3 linked regions of the Elephas maximus indicus genome follow. The protein of the gene in region 1 interacts with the protein of each later gene in a pairwise test. Links are inferred from orthologs where the notes say so. Each region holds a gene or a part of one and is shown in the gene's direction. Other genes may lie near its edges.

Region 1 (10,152 bases):
CAGGATATCATATGATAGCATTTTGCAAGACCAATGAAACATTAGTAGAAGATGAAAGAAATACACAGAGTCACTATACCAAAAAGCAGTCCAAGCTGCACTGAAAGCACTGGTGAAAATCAAGGCTCCAGGAATTGATAGCTTATCAGTTGAGGGTTCAACAAATGGATACAGCGCCTGACCAAAGAAGAAATGATGTATTTGAATCATGGTGTATTCAATATTGAAAATACCATGTTGTATTCAATATTCTTTGATATCACCATAATTCAAAGACATCACAGATATGGAACTCTTCCGTTCGGTTGGCCAGACAGCTGTCCACCAACTTTCTTGGCATAGAGGAGTGTGCACCTCCAGTGCTGCATTTGTTTGCTGAAACATCTCAATTGGTATTTTGCTGATTCCTGGAGCTGTGTTTTTCACCAATTCCTTCAGTGCAGCTTGGACTTCTTCCTTCAGTACCATTCGGTTCTTGATCTTATGCTGCCTCCTGAAATGGTTGAAGATCTAACAATTCTTTTTGGTATAGTGACTCTGTGTAGTCCTTCCATCTTCTTTTGATGCTTCCTGCGTCGTTTAATATTTTCCCTGTAGAATCCTTCAGTATTGCAACTCAAGGCTTGAATTTTTTCTTCAGTTCTTTCAGCTTGGAAAATGCTGAGTGTGTTCTTCCCTTTTGGTTTTCTAATTCCAGGTCTTTGCACATTTCATTATAATGTTTTACTTTGTCTTCTTAAGCCACCCTTTGAAATCTTCTGTTTGGCTCTTTTAATTTATCATTTCTTCCATTCACTTTCACTGCTCTACATTCAAGAGCAAGTTTCAGAGTCTCTTCTGACATCCATTTTGGTCTTTTCTTTCTTTCCTGTCTTTTTAATGACCTTTTGCTTTCTTCATGTATGATGTCCTTGACGTCATCCCACAATTTATCTGGTGTTTGGTTGTTAGTGTTCAATGTGTCAAATCTATTCTTGAGATGGCTCTAAACTCAAGTGGGATATACTCAAGGTCATACTCTGGCTCTTGTGGACTTGTTTTAATTTTCTTCAGCTTCAGTGTGAACTTGTATATGAGCAATTGATGGTCTGTCCTGCAGTCAGCCTTGTTCTGACTGATGATATTGAGCTTTTCCGTCGTCTCTTTCCAGAGATGTGGTGCATTTAATTCCTGTGTTTTCCATTTGGCGAGGTCCATGCGTATAGCCTCAGTTTATATTGCTGAAAAAAGGTATTTGCAGTGAGTATAAGTTGCTGTTCTTACAAAATTTCTATCATGTGACCTCCTGCATCGTTTCTATCACCAAGGCCATATTTTCCAACTACAGATCCTCCTTCTTTGTTTTCAACTTTTGCATTCCAATCACCAGTCACTATTAATGCATCTTGATTGCAGGTTTGATCAATTTCAGACTGCAGAAGTTGGAAAATCTTCCATTTCCTCTTCTTTGGCATTAGTGGTTGGTATGTAAATTTGAAAAACAATTGTATTAGTCTTCCTTTTAGGCATACAGATATTATCCTATCACTGGCAGTGTTGTGCTTCAGGATAGATCTTAAAATGTTCTTTCCGACGATGACTGTGACACCGTTCCTTTTCAATTTGTCATTTCCAACACAGTAAACCATATAATTGTCTGATTCAAAATGGTCAATACCCATCCCTTTTAGCTCAGTAATGCCTAGAATATCGATCTTTTTATGTTCCATTTCATTTTTGACTATTTCTGATTTTCCTAGATTCATACTTTGTACATTACATGTTCTGATTATTAACATATATTTGCAGCTGTTCTCATTCTGAGTCATGTCACCTCATTAAATGAAGGTCCTGAGAGCTTTACTCCATCCATGCCATTAAGGTTGACTCTAGGCAGCTCTTAACCCAGTCGTATTATGAGTGCCTTTCAACCTGTGGAGCTCATCTTCTGGCACTATATCAGACAATATTCTACTGCCATTCATAAGGTTGGAGCTCTGGTGGCACAGTGGTTAAGAGCACTGCTGCTAACCAAAATGCTGCTAACCAGTTTGAGCCCACCAGCTGCTCCTTGGAAATCTTATGAGGCAGTTCTCCGCAGTCCTATAGGGTCACTATGAGTCAGAATTGACTTGATGGTAATGGGTTTAGTTTTTGGTTTTGGATTCATAAGGTTTTCACTGGCCAATTTTTTTTATAAGAAGACTTCCAGGTCTTTCTTTCTAATCTGTCTTGTCTGGAAGCTCTGGTGTCAAGATATCAAACAATATATTTCATTGGGGAAATCTGTTGCAAAAGACCTCTTTAAAGTTTTGAAAAGCAAAGATATCACTTTGAGGACTAAGGTATTCCTGACCCAAACCATGGTATTTTCAATCACCTCTTATACACGTGAAAGCTGGACAACGAATAAAAAAGACCGAAGAATTGATGCCCTTAAATTACAGTGTTGGGGAATATTGAGTATACCATGGACTGCCAGAAGAATAAACAAGTCTGTCTTGAAAGAAGTACAGCCAGTGTGCTCCTTGGAAGAAAGAATGGTGAGACTTCTTCTTACATACTTTGTATGTGTTGTCAGGAGGGACCAGTCACTGGAGAAGGATATCATGCTCAGCAAGGTAGAGTGTCAGGAAAAAAGAAGACCTTCAAGGAGATGGACTGACACAGTGGTTACAACAATGGGCTCAAACATAGCAATGACTGTGAGGATGGTGAAGGACCAGGTAGTATTTCGTTCTGTTGTACGTAAGGTTGCTATGAGTCAGAATTGACTCAATGGCACCTAACAACAACAACATAAAAAAATAATGGAATATAAGAAACTAATGACAGGGGCTGTGAAGGGGGCTTGATAGATGAAGAAGAACCCTTCATGTTCACTCTACACCTCTTTATCCTTTTTGGTTTTTAAGTCATGTGAACATATTACAGTGAAATTCGATGGGACTGCCTTGTTTTTCAGAGTCTTACACATTTTTTGCTTTGAGAGGGTGCAGTCTTACCATTTTTCTAATATTCCTTTTAGTGGAAAATTTTGAGTTTTCCTTCTCTGACAGGTTTCTGCCTTACATAGGTTACTGTTTTTACAGGTTTTACTATATCTGTCCAAGCAAAAATACATATAAAAATACATATATAAATGTAAAAAGATAATTTTTATCTTTAAGGATAATACAAAGCCATTAAAAAATTTTAAGGAGTGGCACCTTAGATTTGGCTTTTAAAAAACACGCCCTAGGCTGCAATATGGAGAATGAATTGGAAGAGGTCAGAGTGGATGCTGATAAGGTGGTTAAGAGGCCAGTGGAAACTGCAATGAGATACCATTTTACACCTAATAGAATGCCGACAATAAAAAGTACTGGCAAGGATGTGGAGAAATTGAAACCCTCCTATGTTGCTGGTGGGAAAGTAAAATGGTGCAGTCTCTTTGGAAAACAGTCTGGCCATCTTCAAAAAGTTAAATGGAGAGTTATCATATGATTCATCGATTTCACTCCTAGGTGTGTATACCTAATAGAATTGAAAATGTATGTCCACCTGAAAACTTGTACAAGAGTATTCATAGCAGCAATGTTCGTAATAACTCAAAAATGGAAAAAAAACTCAAGTATTTGTCAACAAATGAATGGATAAACAAAATGTGGTATATTCATACGATGGGATATTATTTGGGATAAAAATGAATGATGTTCTGATGTATGCTTTGATATGGATGAACCTTGAGAACAGGCCAAGTGAAATAAGCCAGACACAAAAGGCCACATATTATATGATTCCATTTATAGGGAATGTCTAGACTAGGCAAATTCAGAGACAGAACTTTGATTAGAGATTGCTTAGAGATGGGGCGGGGACAATGTGGGGGAGAAATGGAGATTAACTGCTAATGTGTGTAGAATTTCTTTTAGGGGGGATGAAAATGTTCTAAAATTAGATAATGGCCATGGTTGCACAACCATCTAAATATACTAAAAACCATTGTATCTACACTTTAAATAGGTGAGTTGTATGGTATGTGAATTATATTTCAATAAAGCTGCTTTAAAAAAAGCAGTAAGTGAAATATTTAATTTCTAAAAGGCATCATGCCCATATGGATACATCAATAATTTCTTTCAAATTCAATAATCTTCTAAGAAAAAGATCATGAATAGATAAATTGCCCTCAGCTTTAAGAAAATATGGAAAACGTTCCATTTCAAGTATTTAGCACAACCCTGATATAAAAATCTGTCAGAATGTATTACGGTTATGTAAGATATTATCATTAGGGGAAAGGGTATATGGGAATGCTGGGTAGTATTGCACTTTTCATGAGTCTAAAATTATTTCAAAATAACAAACCAGTTGCCATGAAGTAGATTCTGATATATGGCAACCCCATTTGTATCAGAGCAGAGCTGTGCTCCACAGGGTTTTCAATTGCTGATTATTCAGAAGTAGACTGCCAGGCCTTTCTTCTGAGGTGCTTCTGGGCGAACTCAAATGGTTTGCTCCACCCAGGGACTCCATTTCAAGATAAAAAGTTTTAAAAAATCCATCAAAGGCTCTGGTTCAAGATGATAAACTCAGCATAACATTTATCTTCTTCTTGTTTGTTGTATCCCACAAATTTTGGATGTAGTATTTTCATTATGATAGTAATTTCCATTATGGTTTTGACTCATGAGTTATTTGGAAGGCTTTTTTTCCCCTTAATTTCCAGATGTATGTTTTTATTTATATTTTGTATTGGTGTCAAAGAACATATGTATTATACAATTCTTTAAAATTTGAATTATATCAGCTGAGACTTGTATGACTTAGAATGTGATCAATTTTTATAAATGTTCTAGGTATGTTTAAGAAAAAGCAGTGTTCCTCGAATTTTGAGTGCATGGTTCTACACATGTTCCTTAAATCAACCTTGTAAACTGGGTTGTTAAAAAAAGGGGGGGGGGGAAGCATTGCAGCAATCCAGGCGAGAGTGGAGTGATTCCAGATTTATTCAGCAGACAAAATGGACATGTTCTCATGTTGGATGGGGGTGAGGGAGGGGAGATGGAGAAACAGACCTCAAGGATGATTCCCTTGGCTTCTGGTTTATGCAATTCGAGAGTTGGAGCTGTACAATTGAGATGGGGAATCCTGGGAAAGATTAGGAAATCTTTATGTATCCCTCAATAATGTTTCTTAGCCCCCTATGGATGACCGGAGGAAGCTGGCAATGTTAAGGGTTTGGGGCTGGGACTGGGCCTGGGACTCAGCAGCTTTCCCTAGAGCTCTGTATATATCTGTATCACAACAGTTACCATGGTGTAGTCGCAATACACGGTATTGCATCCACTAGATTGTGGGCTCGGAAGATGGCCTGAGTACTTCTGCATCTCCAGGACTTTGCCCAGGGCGTGGCTCCGCCCTTTCCCCCATTCCGTTTCTCCTAGGTCCGCACCCACGGGATTTCCCGCCCTTTGGACTGGCCTCGCCTTAAAGGACCTCGCTCCGCCCCTAGAGGTAGCATTTCCTCCAACCTAGTAGGGATGAGGTGATTGACGAGAGTATTCTCCAGTCCTAACGCTGAATGACCACTTATTACCAATTAGACGGTAGCAGAGGCGGGTACCAAAGCATGAAGTAGAGGTGACCAGGAAGTGGGAGCTGAGGTTGGAAGGAAGGACGAAACCAGGTCCAGGTGGTGGTGTAAAGGTAATGGGGTATCTGGATCCCCCAACTCCCTCCTTTCCCCATCCTTTAAGCCCGAGGTTACTTCGTCCTTTCCCCATCCCTAGGTCAGGGGTATATCGCCGCTGGGAGCTAAGATCGCCATTTCCTCTTTTTTTTTTTTTAACGGGGAAGAGGATGTGTCTACATATTTAAACGTTTAAGGATCTGTCTTGAGCTCCCTTCTTCGCTTCTCCTTCTCTTAACCTGGGGTGAAAGTCCTGCCCCCACCTCCTTTCCTGGGGAGCGGTAAAGTTGTTTGAGATCCTTCCTTATCCAGTGCGATGGGATGGTTAAAGCCCTCCGACTCTGTCTGAGGAAGGGGAGGGTGAGTGACGGGAACTGCGAGCTTCAAGGACTCTGCCCTGCTTGTGAGGGGTTAGAGACCTCCATCTGTGGCGGAGGTAGCGGAAGGTGGAGGGGCAATGGGAGAGAGGTTCCTGTGGTTAGGGTACTAGGAATAGAATAGGTGTTCAGGGCGAAAAACGAGTGGAAGAAAACGTTTCTTAGGGGTCCTGGTAGTTGAAAGTACAGTGGGCGAGGCCACTGTGGGGCGGCAAGCGTTGAGGGTGGTCGCGGGTTCTAAAATCTCCTTCCCACCTCGGGGGCCGTCAGCTTTTTGCCTCATTTGTTTCTCCTCAGGCTTAGGGAAACACCTGAACAATGTGGAATCCCAATGCCGGTAGGTGTTTGCTAGATCTCTTCTCTCCTCCCCACCGCCTTTTCAGATGGGCCCCATTCCAGGAAGTTTCTGTGTCAGTTTTTCCCAGATTCTCCCCTCCCCAAAAGCAAAGTCCTTAGACTACAAAGTTCATTTGCTTTTGTCTCTGCTCAGCTCTTCCAGGTTCGTTTTTTTTCTCCCTGACTCAGGCTTCTCTCCCCACCCTTCTTTTCTCCGTTCTCGCCTTTCCATTTCCTTTAAGTGTTGTGTGCCATGGAGGCGATTCTGACTCAGCGACCCCATGTGACAAAGTAGAGCAGTCCCATAGGGTTTTATTGGCTGTAATCTTTATGGTTAATCTTTATGAAAACAGATCTCCAGGTCTTTCTCTCCCTGAGCCGCTGGGTGGATTCAAACCACCAACCTTTTGGTTAGCAGCTGAGCATTTAACCATTGTGCCACCAGGGCTCCTTTCCTTTTTAAGTACAGGGTGAGAAACTGAATCTGCTACTCTTTGTTGTTGTTGTTATCAGAGATTCTGGGTAGTTTCTAACCTTAATTTTTTCTCTACTTCTTCCACCAGGGCAGCCAGGGCCAAATCCATGTCGCCCTAACCCTGGATGTCCCAACCCTGTCTATCCACATCCTGCCAATCCTGCCTTTCCTCCAGGTCCCTTTCCCACACCCCCAGGAGTTCCCCAGGGGAATCCAGCTTTCCCCCCATGTGGGCCCCCTCAACCTGTGCCACAACCAGGGTATCCAGGATGCCAACCCCCAAAACCCTGCCCACCTCCTGGCCCCTGCCCTCCTCCATACCCACCATCTGCCCCTGGAGTGCCTCCAATGAATCCCTTGGCTCCTGGCATGGTAGGACCAGGAATAGTGATGGACAAGAAGATGCAGAAGAAAATGAAGAAAGCTCATAAAAAGATGCACAAACACCACAAGCATGGCAAGGTCAGTGTTCCTCTGGAGTCTGGGTAGAGAGGGCCTGCTCCCTCAGAAAGATTATGCAGGCTGGGGTTGGTTGAGGGGGATTCTCAGTCTTATGCCATAGGGGATGGTGATCGTGGTGCTTTGGTAGATAGTTCTTCCTTTTTGTGAAGGATTCCCACTGAAATCCTGAGAAGAAATATTAGCTTATTGGACCTATCAGGGTCTAGGCTGAGCCTAAGAATAGATAGCTGAATCAAAAGCCCTTCTTGTCTGGTGTTCCCTCTCCCAAAGCTTTTGTCCCCTTTGCCTCCCCCTCCAGAAGCCTGTTTTAACAAGTTGGACACATCCACTGAGTTTGTCAAAATGCTGATTAATAGGGTCAGCCCTTGGACAAAGCAAAGTCCTTTATAATGATTAACAGAATAATAATCTAGCCCTAATTCCTGGAGCTCCTTTGTCTCCTTTGGTGTTTTCAAGGTGTATTGTTAATTAACTAGGCCTTTTGTCCTACCATTCATCAGGGATACTGAGGACAAGGACAGGTGAAAGACTTAGCCTCAAACAAAGCCAGGAACTAAGAGGGTTTCATACTTAGTTTTCACCAAACCAAACCTATTGCTGTCGAGTTGATTCCAACTCATAGCGCCCCTATAGGACAGAGTAGAACTGCCTCGTAGAGTTTCCGGGGAGCTGCTGGCAGATTCTCAAACTGCCGACCTTTTGGTTAGCAGTTGAGCTCTTAACCACTGTGCCACTAGGGCTGCTATCTGTTCTAGCAGTGTTAATTAGCAAGGGTAAGACCAGCTCACAGGACAACTCCAGAAGGGTTAAGCTTACCTGGATCTTGAAGAGGCCTTAATTTGCATCTTAAGGCCCATGTTGTTAGATGCTATCTAGTTGATTTCAGCTCATAGCGACCCCATGTGACAGAGCAGAACTGCCCCATAGGTTTTTCTAGGCTATAATCTTTACAGGAGCAGATTGCCAGATCCTTCTCCTGTGTAGCAGCTGGGTGGGTTCAAACCGCCAACCTTTCTTTCAGCAGCTTAGGGCATAACGGTCTCCACCAGGGCTCCTTCTTAAGGCCTATGTTGGTGTGCCTTTGAGTGGACTCCGACTCATAGCGACCCTATAGGACAGAGTAGAACTGTTTTATAGGGTTTCCTAGGCTGTAAATCTTTACAGGAGCAGATCACCAAGTCTTTTCTCCTGAGGAGCCTCTGATGGCTTTGGACCGCTAACCTTTTGGTAAGCAGCTGAGCACTTAACCATTGCACCACCAGGGCTCCTCTTGAAGCCCATAAAAACCAAAAAACCAAACTCGTTGCTATGGAGTTGGCTCTGACTCATAGCGACCCTGTAGGTCAGAGTAGAACTGCCCCATAGGGTTTCCAAGGTTGTAAATCTTTACAGAAGCAGACTGCCATATCTTTCTCCCATGGACTGGCTGGTGCATTCAAATCGCTGATCTTTTGGTTTGCAGCTGAGTGCTTAAACACTGCACCACCAGGACTCCCTCTTAAGGCCCATATTAGGCCTTGAATCCTGACTCTGAGTCTTTGATTAAAATTTGAGGAGAATGAAAGATGAGATTGAACGGGGAAGAAATTACCCTGGAGACTCAGAAACGTTTTTAATGGTAGCCCTGTGGCGCGGTGGTTAAGAGCTATGTCTGTAAACCAGAAGGTTGGCAGTTCAAATCCACCAGCTGCTCCTTGGAAACCCTATGGGGCAGTTCTACTCTGTCCGATAGGGTCACTATGGGTCAGAGTCAATGGCAATGGGTTTGGTTGTTTGGTTTTGGTGGTGCGGTGGTGAAAGCGCTGCTATTAACTAAAAGGTCAGTGGTTCAAACTCACCAGCCACTCCTTGGAGAAAGATATGGCAGTCTGCTTTCTTAAAGATTTACAGCCTTGGGAACCCTCTGGGGCAGTTCTGCTCTGTCCTATAGGGCTGCTGTGAGTCGGAATCCACTGGATGGCAGTGGGTATTGATGGGATTATGCATATAAGGAACCTTGAATGGGACTCCCCTAGCCTTCTCTCCCATCTTCCCCACTTTCTCCCAGTGAGGCTTAGGAAAAAGTAGAGATACATGCACATACAGCTGCGGTTTCTACTCACTTTTCTTAGATTCATAGCCACTAGAAATTTTTTATGCAGTTAATCAATAGGTATTTATAAGGTAGCAGCTGTTTCTAAGTACTGTACTGTTCTAGTGCCTACAATTGATTCCTTGTCTGGGCATTGACTTAGGTAAAGAAAGCTGCATACTTGCTCCAAATGCAATACCTTATATTCTGTGCAATGATTTAGGATGGTTTCATCCATTCCTGTATGCTTATTGCTGAAAGAAGCCCTTGCTTTTGCTGTTGAAGGGACAGTCTGGTTCCCAACTCCTGACTTTCTTGGGGAAGGGGTACCTGGGTGTAGGGGTGGGGCACTAAGGAATGGCCACTGGGATGATCAAGGATCATTTGGATCTGATGCTATCTCCTCTCCCCTTTCCCCTTGCAGCATTCCTCTTCTTCCTCCTCTTCTTCCAGCAGTGACTCTGACTGAATACAGGGCCTGGACCCTTCCCTCAAGTCTCACCAGTTCTGCTCTCCCATCAAGCTTCAGATGCCATGTTGTACTGAGGGAAATTAACCCTTGTGCCTCCCGCCTGAACCTCACCCTGCCACTCAGCCCTAACTGGCTAGGGAAAGTGGGAAAAGGATTGCCATGGGCTAGTAAAGGCCTTCTTGCTTCCCGGATAGAATTTTTAGCTAATAAGTTTAGCAGGGGCGTTGTTTTTTGAAGATGGTGAGCCCTTTGAACTAAATGCTGAAGACAAGTTTAAGATCTGTAAAATGTGATTTTAAAAAAAAC
Region 2 (10,443 bases), on another chromosome or scaffold:
GTAAAACTGGAGCTGAGAAGAAATGGCTGGAGTTTTAAATTTAGTAGTCATTTGGGTGAAGGTAAAAACTGAATAGCAAAGAGAATAGGGAACTAGAGGCAATTTTGGGGAACACCCACATTTAGAGGATGAAATAAAGAAGTAGAAGTTAGCAAAGGTGATAAAAAGGATCAAAGTATTCCTTGATGAGACAAATTTTTCTGTTAAAATTATATAGATTTATTTGGGAAATAATTTTCCTCTCTCTGTTTCCTGACACGTAGCTCAACATCAGATCTTTCATACCAATTTAACACCAGTCTTCGAAGTTGTCAAAAAATACACTGCAGCTTAATTTTAAATTAACAAAAATGTATCCTACTGAATGAAACTCAAGACTTACGATTACCTTCCAAACAAAGCTGAATAAAATTTCTGCAAGCTTTAGGGGCTTCTTTTGACCATAATTCTATGTCAATATCTCCAGCTGTAGTTTTCATTAAAACCTGTAGAAAGAATATTACATTGTTATATTAAATTATCATTTTACTTAATCATCAGCTGAATGGCTGTTCAACTTGTAGCATTCACTAGTGGATTTTAAAATAAAATTAGAAACTTTGCTTGGCTTTTGTTGTAATTCTCAACAAAATTTCAAATATTCACTGCGGCTCATTGTAAAAGTTTCCCGTTGCATCACTTCTCGTAAAACTGGTGTAGCAAATTAAGAAAAGTCAGCAATGAAATTGTGATACTTTAAGACAATTTTACAATGATCTTTTTACATATAAACACCCTACTTGCTCATTTAAAATCACACTATTCCTAAATTACTAATATCCTTAATTTAATTCTAGGTTTAGTACTTACTAAAATGGTATGTCTTAAAAATCTCCACCTATATTAAATATAATCATTTGATAGAAAAAAAAAATTTATATTTTATTTTTTTCTATCAGCTCATAGACAGTTACTCCCTAGAAGAACTAGCTGTGCTGCAATAATCAAAACCCCTGTAAGCTGAGGAACAGCTTATAGCTGTCATTAATAACCAAAAAGATTAGCCTCAAAATTTGAATACTGTAGCACAGCTGGAGCCCAGTTTCTCCAGTATCACTTTTTTATTTTTTCCCCCAGTGTCTCCAAGTAGATCAGTGTCAATAAATGTCATTTAGAATATTCTTACAAATAAAGATTATCCAATGTAACTTTTTTTTTTAATGAGGCTATTTTCACGGGTAGTTAATGTCATGGACATAAACCGCACTCTTTATGTCCAAAACTCATTTACCTGACTTCCACAAATATACTTTTTTTGGAACTGGAAGCAAGCTTTAAAATCATTCAAATAAGACCCCACCTTTTACAGATGGGAAACCTGGTGGTGTAGTGGTTAAGTGCTATCTATGGCTGCTAACCAAAAGGTCGGCAGTTCCAACCCACCAAGTGCTCCTTGGAAACTCTACAGGCAGTTCTACTGTTGCTATGAGTCAGAATCAACTCATCATTAAAGGATTTGGTTTGTTTTTTTTAACAGATGGGAAACCCTGGTGGTGTAGTAGTTAAGAGCTATGGCTGCTAACCAAAAGACTGGCAGTTTGAATCCACCAGGCGCTCCCTGGAAACTCTATGGGGCAGTTCCACTTTGTCCTGTCAGGTCGCTCGCTGTGAGTCAGAATTAACTCGAGGGCAACAGGTTCGATTGCTTTTTTTTTACAGATAGCTCAGAGAGATTGTAAATTGTCACAAATCAGAGAGTTTGTTAATGACAAAACGGGAATAGCACCTGGCTCTCCTCCCTCTCAAAAGTCCTGGTGGTGCAGTGATTAAAATACTCAGCTGCTAATCCAAAGGCCAGAGGCTTGAACTCACCAGCTTCTCTGAGGGAAAAAGATGTGGCAGTCTGCTTCCGTAAAGATTACAGCCTTGGAATCCCTATGGGGCAGCTCTACTCTGCCCTTACAGGATAATGAGTTGGAATTGACTTGACGGCAATGGGTTTGGTTTTTTGGTTTTCTCCGCCCTCCCGGGGCAGTGCCTTTACTATAACACATTGCCTTTGAATTTCTTTTTCAGAAGCCTAGATACACTGCAGTAAGTTATATAACATTGGTGAAATCATTGTACCTTTGGGGGCTTTTACTAGCTACATAGCTCTCTTCTTCAACAACCATGGGGTGGGGGGAGTGAAAATATCTATGTTGTGGTAGCTTCTAAAATGGTTTCCTTAACCCTAAAAAAATACAAAAGAACTAGAAATGCAACACGTACAATTTTCTCAGTCCACTAAACTTCCTTTACAAAAAGAAGGGGACATTTGTTAAATGTCCTCCATGTGTCAGCTTCTATGTCAAACACTTTACATATTTTATCTCATTTAATCCTCATGTACAAGGTATCATTACTCCCATTTTACTTATCCCATTTAACCCTCACGTACAAGGTATCATTACTCTCATTTTGCTTATAAGAAACACTCACATAAAGTAACTTATCTGAGTTACTTTACACAGTGAATGACTTGAGCCCAGTGCTACCTGGCCCTGCCATGTATCTCAAGGGAAATCTCTGGATTACTCTGGACACAACTGATTTCAATACGGATCACTGCCTAAGTCAAAGGCGACAATATATTGTCTGGATATGAGCAAGGCCTTTTAACTTGGCATAGTATGAAACAATGCCCAAAAAAGACACTCCAAACCAAACCTACTGGATTCTCAGTCTCCCAGAAAGCATACTATTAGAACGCAAATTGATAGGCTGGGTAACTCCCTCCACCTTGGACTGTATCTATAACTACACTGTGCAACACCTGATTTTCCATGGACCTGATGTACATCCCAGTATACCTAAAAAAAAAAAAAAAAAAAAAAGCAGCAGCCTGTCCTTCTTCATTATCCCCATGTATACTTGAAATAAAGGAGTCCTGGTGGCACAAAGAGTTAAGTGCTAGGGTGCCAACTGAAAGGCTGGCGGTTTAAACTCACCCACTGGCTTCGTAGAGAAAGACCTGATGATCTGCTTCCATAAAGATTACAGCCAAGAAAAAGCTATGGGGTGGTTCTACTCTGTCACATGGGGTCACTATGAGTCAGAATCGATTCTATGGAACCTAACAACAACAAACTTGAAATAAAACACTGTTGTTAAAGGGAACCTAGACATGTCTTCTCTTCCTTGTAACCCTGAATCAATGATCTCCAATTATAATTGCTTATATGTTATTTTGAACATACAAAACATGACATTTAAAAAATTAAAGGAGAAAATAAATACAAATAAAAGTGTGAAGATTTTCTTCCCATACTCCATGGGTGGTTTTGCACACCCCCTGAAGTGTGCAATGACCAGTTTATGAACCATTGATGTTGGCGAAGAATACTGAATATATCATCCACTGCCAGAAGAGTAAACAAATTTGTCTTGGAAGAAGTACAGCCAGAATGCTCCTTACTTTGGACATGTTATCAGGAGGGACAAGCCTCTGGAGAAGGACATGATGCTTGATAAACTCAGTGAAAAAGAGGAAGACCTCAATGTTATGGACTAATACAGTGGCTGCAACAATGGGCTCAAACATACCAACAATTGTGAGGATGGCAAACGGCCGGGCAAAATTTGTGCTGTTACATATAAGGTTGCCAGGAGTCGGAGCTGACTGGAGGGCACCTAACAACAACAACTATTAAAAAAACTGATGAGGTTAAGGAGGGGCAGGGAATGCTGAGATGCTGGGCATGATGAATGAGGTTTGCTATTTCATAGCAGGTTCTATATGAAAGACCTCTCTGCTCAGTTGACATCTTAGCAGGAAAAAGGGCATACCAGGGAGAGTATCAGCACATGTGAAAGCCCTGCCTGGCAGGCTGGGCAATCTATCCAGTCTTCTACCAGTGTTTATCAACTGGGAGTGATATTATCTCCAAGAAACATTTGGAAATATGAGGGGGGAGGTATTTTGGGTTTTCACGATGATGTGTGTGGGGGAGAGGGAACAAATGCTAATGCCCAGGAGATGTTCAAAAAACAAAGAATTTAAAGAATTATTCTGCCCAAAAGACCCACTACAACTTTTGCTGGAGATAGCTGCTACAGTATTTTTGTTTTTGTTGTTTTCATATTGCCCTTGTTACATTACCAAATGTCCCTCAATAGAATACTGGATAATTTAGGATACAGTCATACAACAGAATTTTAACTTCAGCAAATTTAGTTTATCCTAATTCACCTATATACTTCCAGTCACACTATTTTCTCCATTATGCTGGTTCATCAAATTTCGTGTGTGATATAAACTAGCTCTCAGTTCAAGAATTCAGGTGACATTTATTCCACTGCTGATTCCTCTGCCCCACTTTGCATTCAAACACCCTGGGCAGGAATTGACACACCTTAACCACCAAATCTATCAGGAAATCATTCTCCCATTCAAATGTGAGAACATTCCCCATTCCCCACTCTCTCTAACTAAAAATCACCTCATGTTTTAAGACCAGCTAAGATACCCTCTCCATGAAGCTTTTCCGAACTTTCTCAGTTCCTCACCTCCTCAGTACTACCATAGCTATACACCCCTCTCTCCACAGCCCACAAACCAAACGTATCATAAGATTTTTCTGTACTATGCCTGTCTCCCAAACTAAACAATAAGCTCTTCCAGGGCAACGACTAGGCCTTACCCACCCATCTTTGGAGCCCCAGAGAATAATGCAGGCGCTCGTTGGAAACTCTATAGGGCAGTTCTACTCTGTCCTATAGGGTCGCTATGAGTCGAATTCGACTCGACGGCAGTGGAGTTTTTTGGTGCCCAGCAGAATTCAATAAATGATTCTAGAACGAATGGTGAAAGAGAGATCCCCAAATTAAGCAAAGAATATGTCAAATTTTAAAATGCACTTTTAAAAGCCTAAGGCCCTAAAAAATACCGGCATGAGTTGAGTTGAGAGCAGGAAATAATAAGGCTTGAGGGTTGGAAGATGGAGTAATCTCCACCTGAAGACTCTCATGTATATGTTGAGCAATGCCAGCCTACGGTTTTCGGCGCAATCATGTTCGGAGACAGAGAGAAATACACCACTGGTCTCTCCCAACGGTAAGACCCCAAACTCTCCTAACTGAGGAGGTTACCCTTCGCGGAGCCCAGGGACCCTAGGTGAGGCTCTCACCTTCCCGTTTGTGGGAGGCTCCTGGATGTAGATGTTGCTCATCCTGGTCGGTGTTCAGGAATCTGCTCCTTATTAGGAAGAAGAGCTGACGGACGGCCACTAGAGCTGTCCGCCTATCAGTACACGCTTCCTTATGTTGGGTGGTCGCAGAAAGCTCCGGTCAGTTGAAGTCCTGCAAAACTGCAACACCAAACACTATTCTTTCCCAAAACTAACGCCTCACGGACGCCGCCATGTTGCTCCCGGACTCCAGCACCGCCAACGCTGAGAAGGGGTTTCCAATGTCTTCCAGGTAATGAGAAAAGAGTCTCAACCTTCTTACTTAAATGTAATTTCTACCAAAATATTTAAAGGAACTATATACAAATCTTGTTGGTGTTGACTTTCACTACAGGAGAATGCAGGTCATACCCATCCCCCGAAGCTGGCAGTAATGGTTCGGTCCATGTGTGTTCAGCCATATGACTCGCAAGGAAACTGCATGGACGGCTGCTTGGTTCCGCTATATCCAGAGGTTTATAGGGCCTTCCGAGGCTAAGTAGTGGAGGTTTCGCGGCGCCGGTGGAAGAGGCCGCTTTGGCTGTGCGTTGTCCTCGCGGCCGGTGGGAAGCGAGCGCGCCCTTAGAAGGCAAGGGCTCCAGCGACCTCTCTTGCCAGCGCCATGGCAGTCCCAGGTGAAGAGCGACGGCGGGGCTCCTGGGTCCCGGAGGGCAAGGGAATGGGTAGAGTGGGATGTAGTGGGCTGTGGACTAGAGTATAGTGCCCAAGGCGATTTAGACGGAGACGTTAAAATTGACTGCAGGTAGTTTGGTTTACTGGGAAGTTTTGATTCCAAAAATAAACTGATGAGAAAGAAACTATCTCATCCACCTCTAACCAAGCCCCGGCTGCTCTAGGATTACGGGGCACGCTTAAAGGAGGAAAAAAGGAAGCCAGAGGCAGTAGGCAGTGTCTGTAGGCCTAAGGGGGTGGGTGGCCGAGAAAAATTGACCTGCCCCCCTTTTTTTTTTTTTTTTTGGTATGGCTGAAAAAAAAATTTTTTTTTTTTTTTTTAAGTGGGCAGCACTTGGCGAACCCAAGTAGCGAGAGGCATTGTTCGTAGTGGAAATCGCCGGGATGAAACAGGCCACTGGGGTTCTAGGTCCAACTTTTCCTTTTGTATGATGTCCTTGTGGTGTGGCCGTGGACCAGTCGCTTTGCCCTTCTTGGCCTCAATTTCCAAATCTGTAAAAGAAGGAACTTTGTTGCTTATGTCTAAGGTTCCTTCCAACACTTAGATTCTGTGTCCATAAAGAATTACTGTCATGTGCCGTCGAGTAGATTCCAACCCACAGTGGCCCTGTAGGACAGGTTAGAACTATCCCATAATGTTTCCTAAGCTTAAATCTTTATGGGAGCAGATCGCCAGGTCTTTTCTCCCACGGAGCAGCTGGTGGGTTCCAATCGAGTAACCACTGCTCCACCTGGGTTACTGACCTAAAAACGGTGAACCCTGCAGATTTAGTGCACCAGAGAATTAGTCCTCCACAACTATCACCTTACTCTTAAATTCTAGTAGGGGAAAGCATCTCCTTAAGTTTTGTGACAATGTGTTTCTTGGAACACTGGTTGCAGGAGATGTTTTGAGACAAAGTTCACACTGTACCCCTTCTCAGTCTGGAAATTCACAGTAAACTTTAGTATAGAAAAAATTCTGAGAAGTGCTAAGTTTCAGAAGCCCTAGTTTTGTTTAAACCTGCCTTCCCAATATTATTTGACCTTGTTCTTTGACCTGTGGCAGCCTTTTCAGAAATGTATTTTGCCTATAGCTGTTAAGAAGTTTGTGCTTTATTACCTTGTACAGCTTTAAGTGGAACACGTAAGGCGCTGTGAGAGAAGAAAGTACAACTCACTTATACACATAACAAATGTTCATTGAGTGCCTACGTGTGCCAGGCACTGTGCTATACACACTGGGATACAGTGATGAGCAAGATAGACATGTCCCTCTAAACACAGAACTTAAAATCTAGCTGTGAAGAGAAAAAAAAGTACCAGAAAGTGGAGCAAATGCTATGGCAGGGGGAGCACATAGTAAGGGCACCTAATAGGGTACAGGCGGAGCCAGGATGTGCCATTTAGGATGAGACCTAAAGATTGGGAATGGGAAATGCTGTGTAAAGGCTCAGTAAGAGAAAGAAATTAAAGATGTTTACCATGAATGGAACTCAATACAAACAGGAGACAAGTGAGAAATGAACTAGAGGGATAATAACAGTAGCTAATATTCACTAAGCATTACTATGTATCAAATGTGTCAGACACTGTGCCAGGCATCTCATTTAACTTTCAGGACTGTACCATGAGATTAAAAAAAAAAAAAAAAACAGTTGCCATTGAGTGGATTCCTATCAGTGGTGACCCCATGTGGAGCACAGTAGAACTGTGCTTCACAGGGTTTTCAATGGCAGATTTTTTTTTTTTAAGTAGAGCACGAGGCTTTTCTTTTGGAGGTGCCTCTGGGTGTAGTCAAACCTCCAGCCTTTCAGTTAGCAGCTGAGCATATTAACTGCACCACCTGGGAACACCGCACTGTGAGATGTTGTGTGCCATTGGGTCGATTCCAACTCATATGACCCTATAGGATAGAGTAGAACTGCCCCTTAGTGTTTCCATGGAGCGGCTGGTGGATTCAAACTGCCAACCTTTTGTTAGGAGCCTTAGCTCTTAACCACTGAGATCCAGTTGCTGTTGCCGTCGAGAGTCGATTCCAACTCGTAGTGAGTGACCCTATAGGATAGAGTAGAACTGCCCTGTACGCTTTCTAAGGAGCACCTGGTGGACTTGAACTGCCGACCTTTGGTTAGCAGCTGTAGTTTTTAACCGCTATGCCACCAGGGTTTACACCACTGAAATAGGTACTATTTTTCCCATTTTACAGATGAGAAAACTGAGACAGAAATCAAGTAACTTGTCTACTTGTAAGACAGCTAGTAAACGATGGAGCTAGGTCAGTCTGGCACCCCTAGACGCTGTGTTCTTACCATTTTGCTATGCTGTAGTATAACTTGGAGCCCTGGTGGCACAGTAGTTAAGACCTCGGCCGCTAACTGAAAGGTCAGCAGTTTAAATCCACCAGGTGCTCCTTGGAAACCATACAGGGCAGTTCTAATCTGTCCTATAGGGTCACTATGAGTTGAAATCGACACTTTGGCAACAGGTTTGATTTCGTTTATAGTATAACTTATAAAGCATTTCCAGCTTGAAGGGCCTTATAAGCCATGACTAAGAGTTTGGACTTGATTGTAAGGGCAGTTGAAAAGCATTTAAGGGTTTTAAAGCAGATTCACATTTTGGAAGGATTGTTCTGGCTGCACAGGCTGGAGGAGAGCTAATTTGGAGGAAAAGTCACAAATCAGGATAATTTTGTTTAATTGTGATGATACCTGACTAATGTATGGTGTCAGTAGGAATGGAGAAAAGTAGACAGATTGGAGATATATTTTTGGAGGTAGAATCACTACGAATTGGTAATTGATTCAGTATGTGTGTGGCTAAGAGAGGAAATGAGGTTGACCTAGGTTTCACTTAGGCAATTACCCATTGCCATTGAGTGGATTCCAACTCATAGCAACCCTACAGGACAGAGTAGAACTACGTCATAGGGTTTCCAAGGCTATAATCTTTATGGAAGCAGACAAAACATCTTTCTCCCATGGAGTGGCTAGTGGATTCAAACTACCGACCTTTTGGTTAGCAGCTGAACACTCTAACCACTGAGCAACCAGGGCTCCTTAGGCAACTAGGTGGGCCCATTTACTGATACAGGCACCACCTGAGAAGGAGCAGGATTAGGGGGAGGATGGCTTCAGTTTGGGGCATGTTGTGTTGAGGTGTGCTCAGTTGTAAGAATGGAGATATCTAGTGGGCAGGTAGAGAGAAAAGTTGTAGCTTAGGAAACAAACCAGAGTCAGAAATAATGATCTGAGTGTCTTCACACATTTAATAGGAGGTAAGGCCATAAAGACCATAAAGGTGCTTTGGTGATGTAGTGATTAAGAGCTCCGCTGCTCACCAAAAGGTCAGCAGTTCAAATCCACCAGTCGCCCCCTGGAAACCCTTTGGGGCAGTTCTACCCTGTCCTATAGGGTCACTGTGAGTTGGAATCGACTCGATGGCACGTAACAACAACAAGGCTGTGGGAATAGATGACTTTACTCAGGAGAAGTATATAGCGTGTAAAGGGAAGGTCTGTACCTGTAGCTTCAGGAACACAAACATTTAGGGGGCCAGCAGAGAAAGACTGGCCTTCACAGTAGATTACCTAGATGTTTATGATAGGCTGAGTCAGCCCTGGTGCTCTGTGGGAAGACATTTGTTGACAGATTGACACAGCTGCATCCAAAGTTAACCTGATATCACTGTTGATTGAATTACTTGAACAAACATTTTGAGCACCCACAATGTATGGTTCTCTTGGGTCACAATGTCATAATCTGTGCACTCATAAAACTTAAGTCTAGTAAAGAAAATGTGCTACTTAGGGGAACAAAGGTTTTTTTAAGCCCTTATTGAAATTCCTTTAATCTTAGACCAGCATTACAGTTACGTTAACCTTCTTTCAGATCAAAATAGTCCTTCGAAGTGTAATGATCTTAAATTGAGCCGTTAAGCTAGATGGCAAGTCATAGATAAAGTGTTTAAATCTTGCAAAAATTGAGATAATAGGCATGACAGTGCTGTAGAAGTACAATGCAGGTGCCATTTGAAAAAATAAATACGGAAGATGTTAAAATAATTTCTTGGATAATCGATCCAAACAGTGTATTAAAGGAAAATAAGGCTCCATCAGAAACGTTTTGAGATGATCATCAAGGAGGACAAGTGTTATGTTATGCTCTTTTATTTTTAGGTATAATGCTGGCATGGATTCAACATGACATTTCATGGGGTGGTCCTGCTAGTGATTATTACAAGGTATGACTGTAAAGTAATGAGGCTGCTTTCCACAAACTGCACATAAAAATCGGCCTCGTCAGTTTTATGGTCACATGCTTCAGTCAATTTTTCCACAGAATTATATGTGAACTTGCACCATTATATAGATAACAAATGCTACAAACTGCTCTCAGAAATAAACCTGCAATCTGTGGCCTGGTTTGAACCTTTTGGGATGTTAGGTTTGGCCCAAGAGGTTTTATAAACACAGGCAGCTAATTTTTAAAAAATCTATACTGGGAGGGAAATAGAATTTCATCCACACAAACCTAGATTTCTGTCCTCCTTTGAAAAATCAAAGGCTCTGACAATGCTAGGC
Region 3 (10,637 bases), on another chromosome or scaffold:
AATGTTGAAAAGCAGGGATGTTACCTTGAAGGCTAAGGTACGCCTGACCCAAGCCACGGTATTTTCAATCACATCATATGCATGTGAAAGCGGGACAAGGAATAAGGAAGACCAAAGAAGAATTGACACCTTTGAATTGTGGTGTTGGAGAAGAATATTGAACATGCCATAGACTGCCAAAAGAATGAACATATCTCGCTATGAGTCGGAATCAACTCGACAGCACTGGGTTTGGTTTTGGTTTTTTTGGTTATCTGTCTTGAAAGAGGTACAACCAGGGATGGCAAGACTGTGTCTTATATACTTTGGACATGTTGTCAGAAGGGATCAGTCCCTGGAGAAGGACATCACACTTGGCAAAGTACAGAGTCAGTGGAAAAGAGGAAGACCCTCAACAAGGTGGATTGACACAGTGACTGCAACAATGAGCTTAAGCATAGCAACAATTGTTGAGACGGCACAGGATTGTTGGTGTTTCATTCTGTTGTACATAGGGTCACTATGAGTCGGAACCGACTCGATGGCAACTAACAACAACAGCAGATTGTGAGAGAATAAACTTCTGTTTGTTGAAGCCATTCACTTGAGGTGTTTCTGTTACAGCAGCATTAGATGGCTAAGACACTCACCCTTGGAGACTTTCCCTTTTTCCTGCCATCTTCATCTCCTCCTCCCTCCTGGCTTTCTCTATCTGAAGTCTTCCTCACTTGGACACCTGCTGGACCTTTTTCCACCTGCCACAGCTTCCCCTAAATTCTTCTTTCCCCTTCTGATGAGAGGTCTCTTCTAGGGTTCTTGCTTATTTATCAGTCTCCTATAAAAACAAGTCATTCTCTTGCTTGAAGGCTAAGGCTGAGCTTGTCCCTTATTTCAAGTAGCACAGTGATGTGTGCATAGAAGTTACTCAATAATATTTTTATCAATTCTCTTAGATTGCATTTACACTTATCTTGGAAGAGCTTATATAGGCTTGGGGTTAGGTACCAATGAGTAATTTACTGCTTGTGTACAAATTATAAATTCCCAGGCAACCCTGATCACAGCAACATCCTTTTATTTAGCTTTAAAGGGCATGAATTTGGTACCAAAAAGTGCATGGGGATGTGCAAGGGTGGAAGTGAAGCAAAAAGAAAGTTTGATCACACAGGACACAGGCTTTATCTATCCCTGAAACGGCTACAGATTACCAAAAAGGAAAGGCAAGAGGGTGACTCATCCCTTGTCTCCCTAGCAACCCATTTACTGTCCCTTTTTTCCTATTACTTGTGGCTAACCCTCTAATGGTAGTGGTGCCACGACTGGCCATGTGACCTCATGACTCAAAGTCTTAAGGTTTACAGCATTTTCCTAAGAGACAAAGGGCATTCCTGTGGGCAATTCCTTTTTAATACCTTTTACTACGGCTGCTGATCCATTCAAGTAAATTGGTTGCCAGGCAACCTGTTCAGAGAAGATGTTGTATTTTCATAATTAATCCTCAATGCACACAGTGATTTCTGTGCAAGCCTCTAAACCAAGTAAGCTACAGAGAGGACATTGATGAAAAATAAAGTACCGGCCATTAAGGCACTTACAAATTTATCCTAGAGGGTGCCAAGACATCTTCACAATTCCACCTAGTGAGTCCTTCACGTAGACATTTCTCTCCTATGGTGGACAACAGGATGAAACTATTTGTACACAATGTATGAATTATTTGGTTGCTTTAGGTAGCACATGCATTATTTAGCAATCAGGTTATACCTGGTTTTCTCCGTGGGTGACATAAACCAATCCCTACCAGAATTTTTTGCTCAGTGTTTTCCTGGACCAGTTGTGAAACTTTGGACCTCTGGGCTGTCTCCCTAGGCATTGATTAACTTTGATAAGTAAATCACTTTCCCTGACAGTAAAAAAAAAAAAAAAACTTATCTATTTCCTCGTACAAAATAATACGGTGAGGTTAAAAGCAGAGTATATATGGAGTAACTTGAATGTCCTGTGTAAAATATATTAAAGAGTTGATTAATAATTGCTTCCTAATGGAATTGCTTTGAGACTAGGTCTATTTATCCAAAAAAAGTGGTAAATTTTTAGTCAATTCTTCAGGAAATGGATATTGAGAAGGTAGGATTTTTTTTTTTTTTGCAAACAAAAAAAAACCCAAAACCCGTTGGCGTCAAGTCAATTCCGACTCATAGCAAGCAACCATATAGGACACAGCAGAACTGCCCCACAGGGCTTCCAGGGAGTGGCTGATGGATTAGAACCATCAACATTTTGGTTAGCAGCCAAGCTCTTAACCACTGTTCCACCAGGGCTCCCAACAAAACCACCTATTAATTGAATTTTTCACTCTTTCAAATTTTGATCATTTTTAAAGGGCATCAAATAGATAAGTAGAGGGAAGAGTATTGAAAATAATAAAAGTGAACAACCCACAGGATTTTCCTCCAGTGCTCACACCATAAATGTCCTAACAAATATTTATTGCGAGCCTGCTGTATGTACCTTGGATTCATCAGTAAACAATTCAGCAAAGAGTTTTGCCCTCAGGAGAGGAAGTAAAAGCAGAGGCAGGTGGGAAACCAATAAAAAAAAACAATAAACGTCCTAAGTAAGTACAGTGAAGTACTGTTCAGCCACAGGGAGGGGTAAAGTCCAACTGGGTGGAGGTGCCTGCTGCAGTTTTATAAGGGGTGGAAAGAGTAGACCTCATGGAGAACGTGATATTTGAGCAAAGACTTGAAGTAGGTGAGAGAGTTAGGAAACAACAGGAGAAGAGAGTTCCTGATAAAGGGGACAGCCAGTGCAAGATGCTAAGACAGGAGTGTGCGTTGTGCCTGGTGTACTAGATAAACAGCCTAGAGGGCTGGTGTGGCCAAGGTGGAGTGAGTAAGGGGGACAGCAACAGGAAGGAAGGTCAGAGTTAAACTCTAAATTAAAATGTTTGCTTCCTTCTCTAATTTTCCCTTAGTGCCAAAAAAACAAAACCAGTTGCTGTCTAGTCAATTCTGACTCATGGAAGCTCCATGTGTTTCAGAGTAGAACTGTACTCCATAGCACTTTTGATGATGGATTTTTCAGAAGTAGATCACCAGGAAGAAATCCAAGGTGTCTCTGAGTGGACTCGAACCTCCAACCTTTTGGTTAGCAGCTGAGCATGTTAACCATTTGCAATACAGCTTTATATATCATGTATACTTTGTTCTCTAACATCATAAGATCCCAAGTAACCAGGTTACTCAGGTCAGCTAGCATAATTTCTAAGTTCATAGGAACATTGCAGCCCACTGTGAATCACTTTTTAAAAATATTAATTTACCTTATTATTTTTAGAGTAACAAAATGATTATGTTTTGTACATTTTAAGTCAGACTTTTCATTAATCTCTACCCTTCAATCACGTTCTATCAGTGAGATTGTATTACACTTCCATTTTGGTTTACTGAGTGAATCCATTGCCCAAAGCAGGACATGCATAGCTATAGCACAAAGTTACATCACAACCACCAGTAGGCCAGTTCTAGCCAGGCCAGAGGCTATAAGCTTCCCATAGTCTTGTTTTTGCATGAGCAGGACCCCTCCCATAGCTCCTCTCCTGCTCAGTGCAGCCCCCACCCCACTGGCCTAAGAGCACTCTCGCTAGTGCTAACAAACCAGGGACATCTGCTGTGTCCCTGCTCTCCTGCTCTCCTGCCCCTTGGGTGATGTCCACTACCTACATGAAGGAGTTTCACATTGGCACTTCCAGAGGCCTTCCAGAGCGAGAACACAAATGTCTGCCCCAGGAGGCAGCTCTAGAAATTTGTTGACAGCCAGTGCAGTCCTGGGCTATGTGGAGAAGGGGAAGAACAGCTGCCCCACACCTGAGGGCTGTATTTTGTCACCTGGGCCCTGATGCAGCTTCTCTCAAAAAAAAAAAAAGCTTCTATAAAGACAGCACCATCAGTTTCTGGCCCCATCCTTTCTCCCTGGGACACCAACCCAGCAAACGAGGCATGTAGGACTGAGATTGTTATGTCATCTCCTCTTGATTCTTTGTCCTTACTCCATTCCGTTGCACCAAAAGCCCTTCCTTGTCTAGCCAAAGATCCAAAAGCTCCCAGACATGTCAGATCAAACAGATCCAGAGGCTTTCTCACATATGCTATCAGCCAGACTCGGAATCCCAGTTTGAGATAGGAGACTGTGTTATCTGGAATTGAAACATCACACAGAAAGTACGAGAGACAAAGGGGTCAAAAGGGCAACCCTGCTCCTTCCTCATCTCAAAGATAATTCTACCTTGTGGTCAAATATTCTTTCCATTGCTGAATGACTTTCTCAGCTCCTACTAAATCTATTAACTTTTGGTGGATTGTTGTTGGCATTTTTTGTTGTAGTGATGATGAGTATTTTCTTTTTTTTTTTTTTTTTTACCTCAGTCTGTTGAGTAGCGAATATTCCATTTCCAAAGGCTTATTTCTTAGACCCTGACACACTTTCAAGGAGCCTGGGTGGTATAAGTGGTTTATGATCAGCTGCTAATCAGTGCAAGAAAGGCCTGGCAATATGCTTCCATAAAGATTATAGTCAAGAAAACCCTATGGAGCGGTTCTACTCTGGAACACATTGGGGTTGGCATGAGTTGGAATCAACTGGATGGCAGCAGGTTTGGTTTGGTTTTTGTCTGATATACTTTCAACTTGATGTATGTTGTGATCTTGGTCTTACCTAATACTCTGTGCCTCAGTTGTGTCATCTGTAAAATGGGTATGAAAATAATACCTACCTCATATTTTTTTTCATATGTGTACGTAAAGCACTACTAAGTGTAATGCAAGGCACATAAGTGCTCAATGAATATTAGCTATTATGATTATTATCTGAACTTTTAAAAAATCCACCTTGACATCCTTAACCATTTTACTTGGTTATTACCCAGTTAAATGCTACTAAACAAATACCACCTCTCTTTGCAAGCATAGCCATTTACTCTAACAACCTTTCATACAGCCAGCCATAGGAAAAGACCAAAACTAAACTGGTTACCATTGAGTAGGATACAAGTCATAGCCACCCTACAGGACAGAGCAGAACGACCCCACGGGTTTCCCAGGCTGTAAATCTTAGTGGAAGCAGACTGCCACATCTTTCTCCTGTGGGAGCAGCTGGTGGGTTCCAACCACCGATCTGGTAAGCAGCTCAGCGCTTTAACCACTGCGCCACCAGGGCTCCTTTCATATAACCATAGCAATGTCCTATCTCCGCCTTTACCAAAGGTAATTTTTGTATTTAACTGTTATGTCTTCCAGCAGAACTCTCTCCAATCTTTGAGAAAACAGATATTCAGCCTTGCTAAGAAGTGATTCATCCATTCGCTTGTTCATTCATTCATTAAGCAAAAATTTACTGAGATCCTTCTAGCCCCAGAGGCTGAACTAGACGCTGAGAATGTACTGGGGAGCAAAGAGCAAAAACAATTCGGGGAGCTCAGTCTGGACCGTGTGTGCCCACATCACAGTTTTACGGGTCTGAGGTCAGAAAGGAGAATGAACGCAAGGCCTAGAACGCGGGACAGGTTCACCTTGCGCGGCAGGAACTTTCTGACAGGGATTTCCGTATCGAACTCAAATCAGTGTGCTTTGATGCTGACAGGTGGTTTCAGTAAAGTGAAGTGGAGAAGGGATGAGACTGCTTGCTATTCAGGCAGAAAATGCACAAGGTTAAATAAAGCAAGCAACAAGCTCACACTAAAAGCTCAGTAAGCTCTCCCAATCCTCTTTGAAGCTGTGGGAGTGAGTCTGGAGAGAGGAAAATGAACGTGGTCACACTCACATCTCGGGACTGCTGGGGCGGGGGACGAGGGGACGCCGCCCTTCAGGGTCCCACTGGCCGGCCCCCACTCCCTCACAGGACTGAGTCTTTTGCACCGGCGGGGCGGCCGCCCGGGTCCCGGAAGGGGTTCGGGCCTCGCCCAGCCTGGTGCCCAGGGAGAGGCAGGGCGCGCAGGGCCGGCGCCCCGCCCCGGGCGAGGCGGGGCAGGGCCGGCCTATTTGAGGCGTGGAGCCGCAGCCCGGCCAGGAGCCCCGGGAGCGAGCGAGGCAGCCAGCGGACTCCGAGGCGGGGTGAGCGGAGGGGGCGCGGGGTGCGGGTGCCTGTCAGGCCGGCTCGGGCCGGGAAGGGGCGCGGCCCCTCTCTGGAGCGCTCGGCCCAAGCCTGGGCGACCGCGGCGGCCTGGGCACGGACGGCGGGACGCACCTTGCTCTGCCAGCCTGTGCGGTCCGGTGGGCACCGCCTTTGGGGAGGGGTCCATGACCTTAGATTTTCCAGGGTCTGAGACTCGGGGAAAGTTAGCAACGACTTACAAAGATCCACTACGCAGCGGGCAGGTGTGTCTGCGGACGTCCGGCGGGCGGCACGGAGCACTCTCTGTGGCGCCTCGGAGGATTTAACCACCCTGCCCTCCCTCCGCTGCCTCTGCCAGCATTGCTTTATGGACGTGGAGTAAATCCTAGTGCTTGATAAGACACAGGTCAATCGGCTAGGTCGAACTGCGAGGGGTTATCAAACCAAGCAACCCTCGCTAGCTTGGCATTAGGAGCCAGGTCCCCTTTTCCCGGCACCCCGAGGACTCTATAAGGCGACTCTTGGGACTCATGACTTGCCTGCCCCGGGCTACTTCTGTGTGTCTGCCGAACTTTCATCTGCAGATCTTGCTGTGGGCGCGAAATGAGTTCTTTTAACGGGTCCAGCAACGTGGAGGCAGGGGCTGCAGCTTGCTGTCAGAATGCTGACCCCACAGAAAACGCTGCTGTCCCAAGGCCTGAGAGCGCATGTGTCCAGTTTGGCAAAGTCCGGGAGCCCTAAACTTTTGCAAATCAAGTGACTCATTCCTACCCAGAAGGGTTAATTTGGGCTGTAAGAATTCAGATCTGTGCTGAGGATATGTGGGGTGTGGCAACATGTTGGTCTGAGTGCGCAGAGCCCTAGCTAGGGGACTTTTAAAATAGGTTTGAGGGTTTATTCTGAATTATCAGTTGCTCACACTAAAATGCTTCCGCTCTGGGAGTAGGAATTAAATGCCGGGGAGTCAGGCACACATAGATTGAGGCTGTGTCTTAGGCTTCAGCCCAGCCCTTTAAAGATTCCTATTCCAGATACTGTGGAATATTTGTAAAGTGACTCTTGGAAGTTGGATTGCTGGACAATGAGGACAGTTGGGCCTCAGTGATCTGGTCTGTTTCTAGAATTCTGGGAAAGAAATGGAAGGCAGAGTCACTTAATTTTTAGAAAATGATAGAGATAAAAATTAGCCACAGAGCATCAGAGAAAATCTTCACCAACTTCCAATATTCTGATTTGTTTGCCTCAAGATTATAAAGTTTATCTCTCTGTATTAGGAAATGGTTTGTTCCCATGAAAGTTATAGCTTACTAATAATTTAATTTCCCACAAAAACTGTGTTCTTTTCAGACATCAATTTTGATTCCTTAGAGTGGGGTCTTTGATTTCTTTGATGGTTGGGCCTCATTTGTGTTCTTTGGGGGGGGGGGGGGTTGGAGCTGCTTCCTAAATTTAGAGTTTAGAGTTTACATTTACATCCAGCATTTATTCCATACCCTGGAGGGAAGTTTGATGGTGGTCCTTGCATGTTTATAGCTCAGAAGTGTTAGAAGGTTGCCTCACTAAGTTACGTAAGTAGCAGAAGAGGGAAGTTTGGCCTGACTGATTGACCCCTAAAGCTAGTCATTTTCAAGCAGAATAGATGAATCTGTTTGTTGAGGGGTAGCTTGCTGTGCCACACATACACCTAACACACCCACTGCCGTCGAGTCGATTCCGACTCATAGCGACCCTATAGGACAGAGTAGAACTGCCCCGTAGAGTTTCTAAGGAGCGCCTGGAGGATTTGAACTGCCGACCTCTTGGTTAGCAGCCGTAGCACTTAACCACTACGCCACCAGGGTTCCCACATACGCATAGGTGCTTCTTAAAAACTTTTGATCTATTGCTAGCGAGGTCAAGTGACTCATGTTGGTCTTACCTATAATTTAGGTTTACTTAAAAGCCAAATCCAAACCCATTGTCGTCGAGTCGATTCCGACTCATAGAGACCCTATAGGACAGAGTAGAACTGCCCCATAGGGTTTCCAAAGAGCAGCTGGTGGATTTGAACTGCTGACCTTTTGGTTAGTAGCCTGAACTCTTAACCTAGAACCCTTATTAGCCAGACTCTGAATCTTAACTGCTACAGAGAAGTGTATTTATACAGTATAACTTGACAATCTTGTGTTGACCCTAGTATCAAGAGGCTTGTAAATTTATGTATCTGAGCCTCTTGGTGACTGATCTAAAACATAGCCTTTCTTTCCTGAGATGGCTTGGGACACAGCTTCTGCAGAGGGCAGCTGTGTAGCTCTTTGTGTCTGTTGCCTAAACTGGTTCTTCTTATAAAACTCCAACTGGGTAACTGAAGAGACTGCCAGAACAGTGCTTGCTGTATACTTACAGTTTGCTGTTGACTAAGTATCATATGTTCTGTCTTGATTGCTGTTCAGCTTTTCCATAGGGGAAAAAATCAGTAACTGGGAAGCACAAAGTAACTTTACCTCCCTTGATGCTGAGAAACTATGATGAGGACAAAATCCAAGGAGAGGACTGGTCTCCTTTATCCCAACTCAGCATCATGGAATTCAGCTTTGGAAAATAGACTTTCCTCAAGCCCCACTCTGAGTTTCTGCAAGAGCAGGAAGTAGACTGCCTCTCCTGTGTTCTTTAGGGAGTAGGGTGGTGCAGTGCCCTGGGATTCTGAGGAAATATGTTTATGATCTTCCACTACAGCTTGTGTAAAGGTCTGCTCTAAAACTGAGCAGAAGCTTCACAAGTGTTCCTGGGAACCCAGACATAACTGGATTAATTGCTAGGTGGGCCTAGAATAGCATAATGCAGTGGGTAGCTACTAGTTATTAAAGGGAAAAGCTACTAATTAACAGCCGATTAAAATGGTCTACATTCTGACTCGTGTTTAAATTCCTCGTTCTAAAGCTACACGGAGCTATAATGTGTAGTTTTCCCAAATGTGGAGACCTAAATAGTATCTCTCTCTCTTTTTGCTTGTCTTTCATTGTTTCTTTTCTGATTCTTTAAAATTCCCTGATTCTGGGAATGCCAGGATGGAATTCATATATCCGTGGGGTGGGAACTTTTTTTTTTTTTTTACATTTGATTGTCTCTCTTTCTATAAACCACTCATAAAGTTAAAAAAAAAAAAAAAGAAGAGGAAAGGGAGAAATTTTCTAGGCAAGTAAGGAAGGTATTTATTCAAATAGGTATCTACTTTAAAAAATAGAAGTTCTGAGGTTGCCCACGTTGACTTCAAAAGAGTATTGGTATAACCCTCTCAAAAAAGGATCTGAAGTTTGGAGGTTGACATAATCAAAAACAGTGTGTACTCAATTTTTGGAAAAGTACACTTTATTGGTTAAAATGTGGTTATAATTAGCAAAGTGACTGTGCCAAATGGCATCCTGATATTCAACATCACTGAATGAGTCAGCCAGTTAGTTTTCTGACAAAAACATAATCTTGTTTTTTAATTTGTTTACAATTTCACCATGTTAGGTAGTTCTGGATGAATAAGCCATAGAATTAATTTCTAAATGAAATAATTAACACTTTCAAAAGACTGTGCTTTCAAATCTCAAAGCGTGAGGTGTTATATTTGTATAGAAGGAGCCAGAACCAGGGGTCAGGAGGCTTGGGTCCTGGTCCTTGGCCTGCCAATGACAGTATGACTTTGGGCCAACAGGTGAGCTCTCTGAGCCTCAGCTTCCTCAATTTTAAACTGGGAATACTGTATTAATTTTCCCGTCAGTCTCATAAGATTGTTATCAGAATAGGTAAGCTATGTGAAAGTGCTTTGTAAACGGAAAAGTACTACACAAACGCAGGGTGTTATTATTCTAATGGGCTTGTCTAATGTGTCACAACACAATCCAAACTGTCATCCAAGGCGTATGTGAAACACAGTGGAAATAAAGTGAAATCTGCTTTGTTGCTCAAATTGTATTTGGCTGAGTTGAAAAACAAACTGAAGATGTTTGAGCAAAGGCTTTGCAAACATAAGTTAAATTTGGAAGTCTCCTCTTTATGTGAGTTTCTGATTGTAATTGGCCCTTAAACACTATTAGTTTGACTGGAATTTTGGTCATAAGTCCATTGCACTTATGGGCCTTTACGAGGACAATGACACAAATTTAGCTAGTTTTAACAATTGAAACTACCTTTTTGTTATTTGGGTACCCTGGTGGCATTGTGGTTAAGTACTACGGCTGCTAACTGTGAGGTTGGCAGTTCGAATCCCCCAGGCGCTCCTTGGAAACTCAATGGGGCAGTTCTACTCTGTCCTATAGGGTTGCTATGAATCAGAATCAACTTGACAGCAGTGGGTTTGGTTTTTTTGGTTTTTGTTATTTACTCAACTGTGTGTGTACATTTATCTAAAGATATACATGCTAATCAGCCCAGACCACTAGTTCTCAACCAGGCGTAGTTTTGTCCCACAGGGACATTTGGCACTGTCTGGAGACATTTGGGTTGTCACAACTCGTTGGTGGGTGCTACTGCCAAATATCCTACAATGCGCAGAACAGCCCTGCACAACAAACTGTCCA

What was found.
Region 2: the proteins of PRR13 (region 1) and SREK1IP1 interact in binary tests that used the Homo sapiens proteins (3 or more experiments, as listed by UniProt). The link is inferred for Elephas maximus indicus from reciprocal best matches to the Homo sapiens genes PRR13 and SREK1IP1.
Region 3: the proteins of PRR13 (region 1) and LGALS3 interact in binary tests that used the Homo sapiens proteins (3 or more experiments, as listed by UniProt). The two-hybrid records come from large-scale screens. The link is inferred for Elephas maximus indicus from reciprocal best matches to the Homo sapiens genes PRR13 and LGALS3.

Annotation. Positions count from the first base shown.
Region 1 is NC_064822.1:108,940,247-108,950,398, forward strand, and holds the start of PRR13 (proline-rich protein 13), read left to right. Parts: upstream 1-5,572; 5' UTR 5,573-5,670; intron 5,671-5,838; exon of another isoform or gene 5,839-6,013; intron 6,014-6,327; 5' UTR 6,328-6,348; coding exon 6,349-6,367; intron 6,368-6,929; coding exon 6,930-7,303; intron 7,304-9,798; coding exon 9,799-9,843; 3' UTR 9,844-10,152. UniProt on the Homo sapiens protein: Negatively regulates TSP1 expression at the level of transcription. This down-regulation was shown to reduce taxane-induced apoptosis.
Region 2 is NC_064820.1:69,562,409-69,572,851, reverse strand, and holds the start of SREK1IP1 (protein SREK1IP1), read left to right. Parts: upstream 1-5,358; 5' UTR 5,359-5,439; intron 5,440-5,541; 5' UTR 5,542-5,808; coding exon 5,809-5,821; intron 5,822-10,443. Other genes in the region: spliceosome-associated protein CWC27 homolog, read right to left, coding at 389-485, 5,148-5,189. UniProt on the Homo sapiens protein: Possible splicing regulator involved in the control of cellular survival.
Region 3 is NC_064828.1:67,457,909-67,468,545, forward strand, and holds the start of LGALS3 (galectin-3), read left to right. Parts: upstream 1-6,004; 5' UTR 6,005-6,089; intron 6,090-10,637. UniProt on the Homo sapiens protein: Galactose-specific lectin which binds IgE. May mediate with the alpha-3, beta-1 integrin the stimulation by CSPG4 of endothelial cells migration.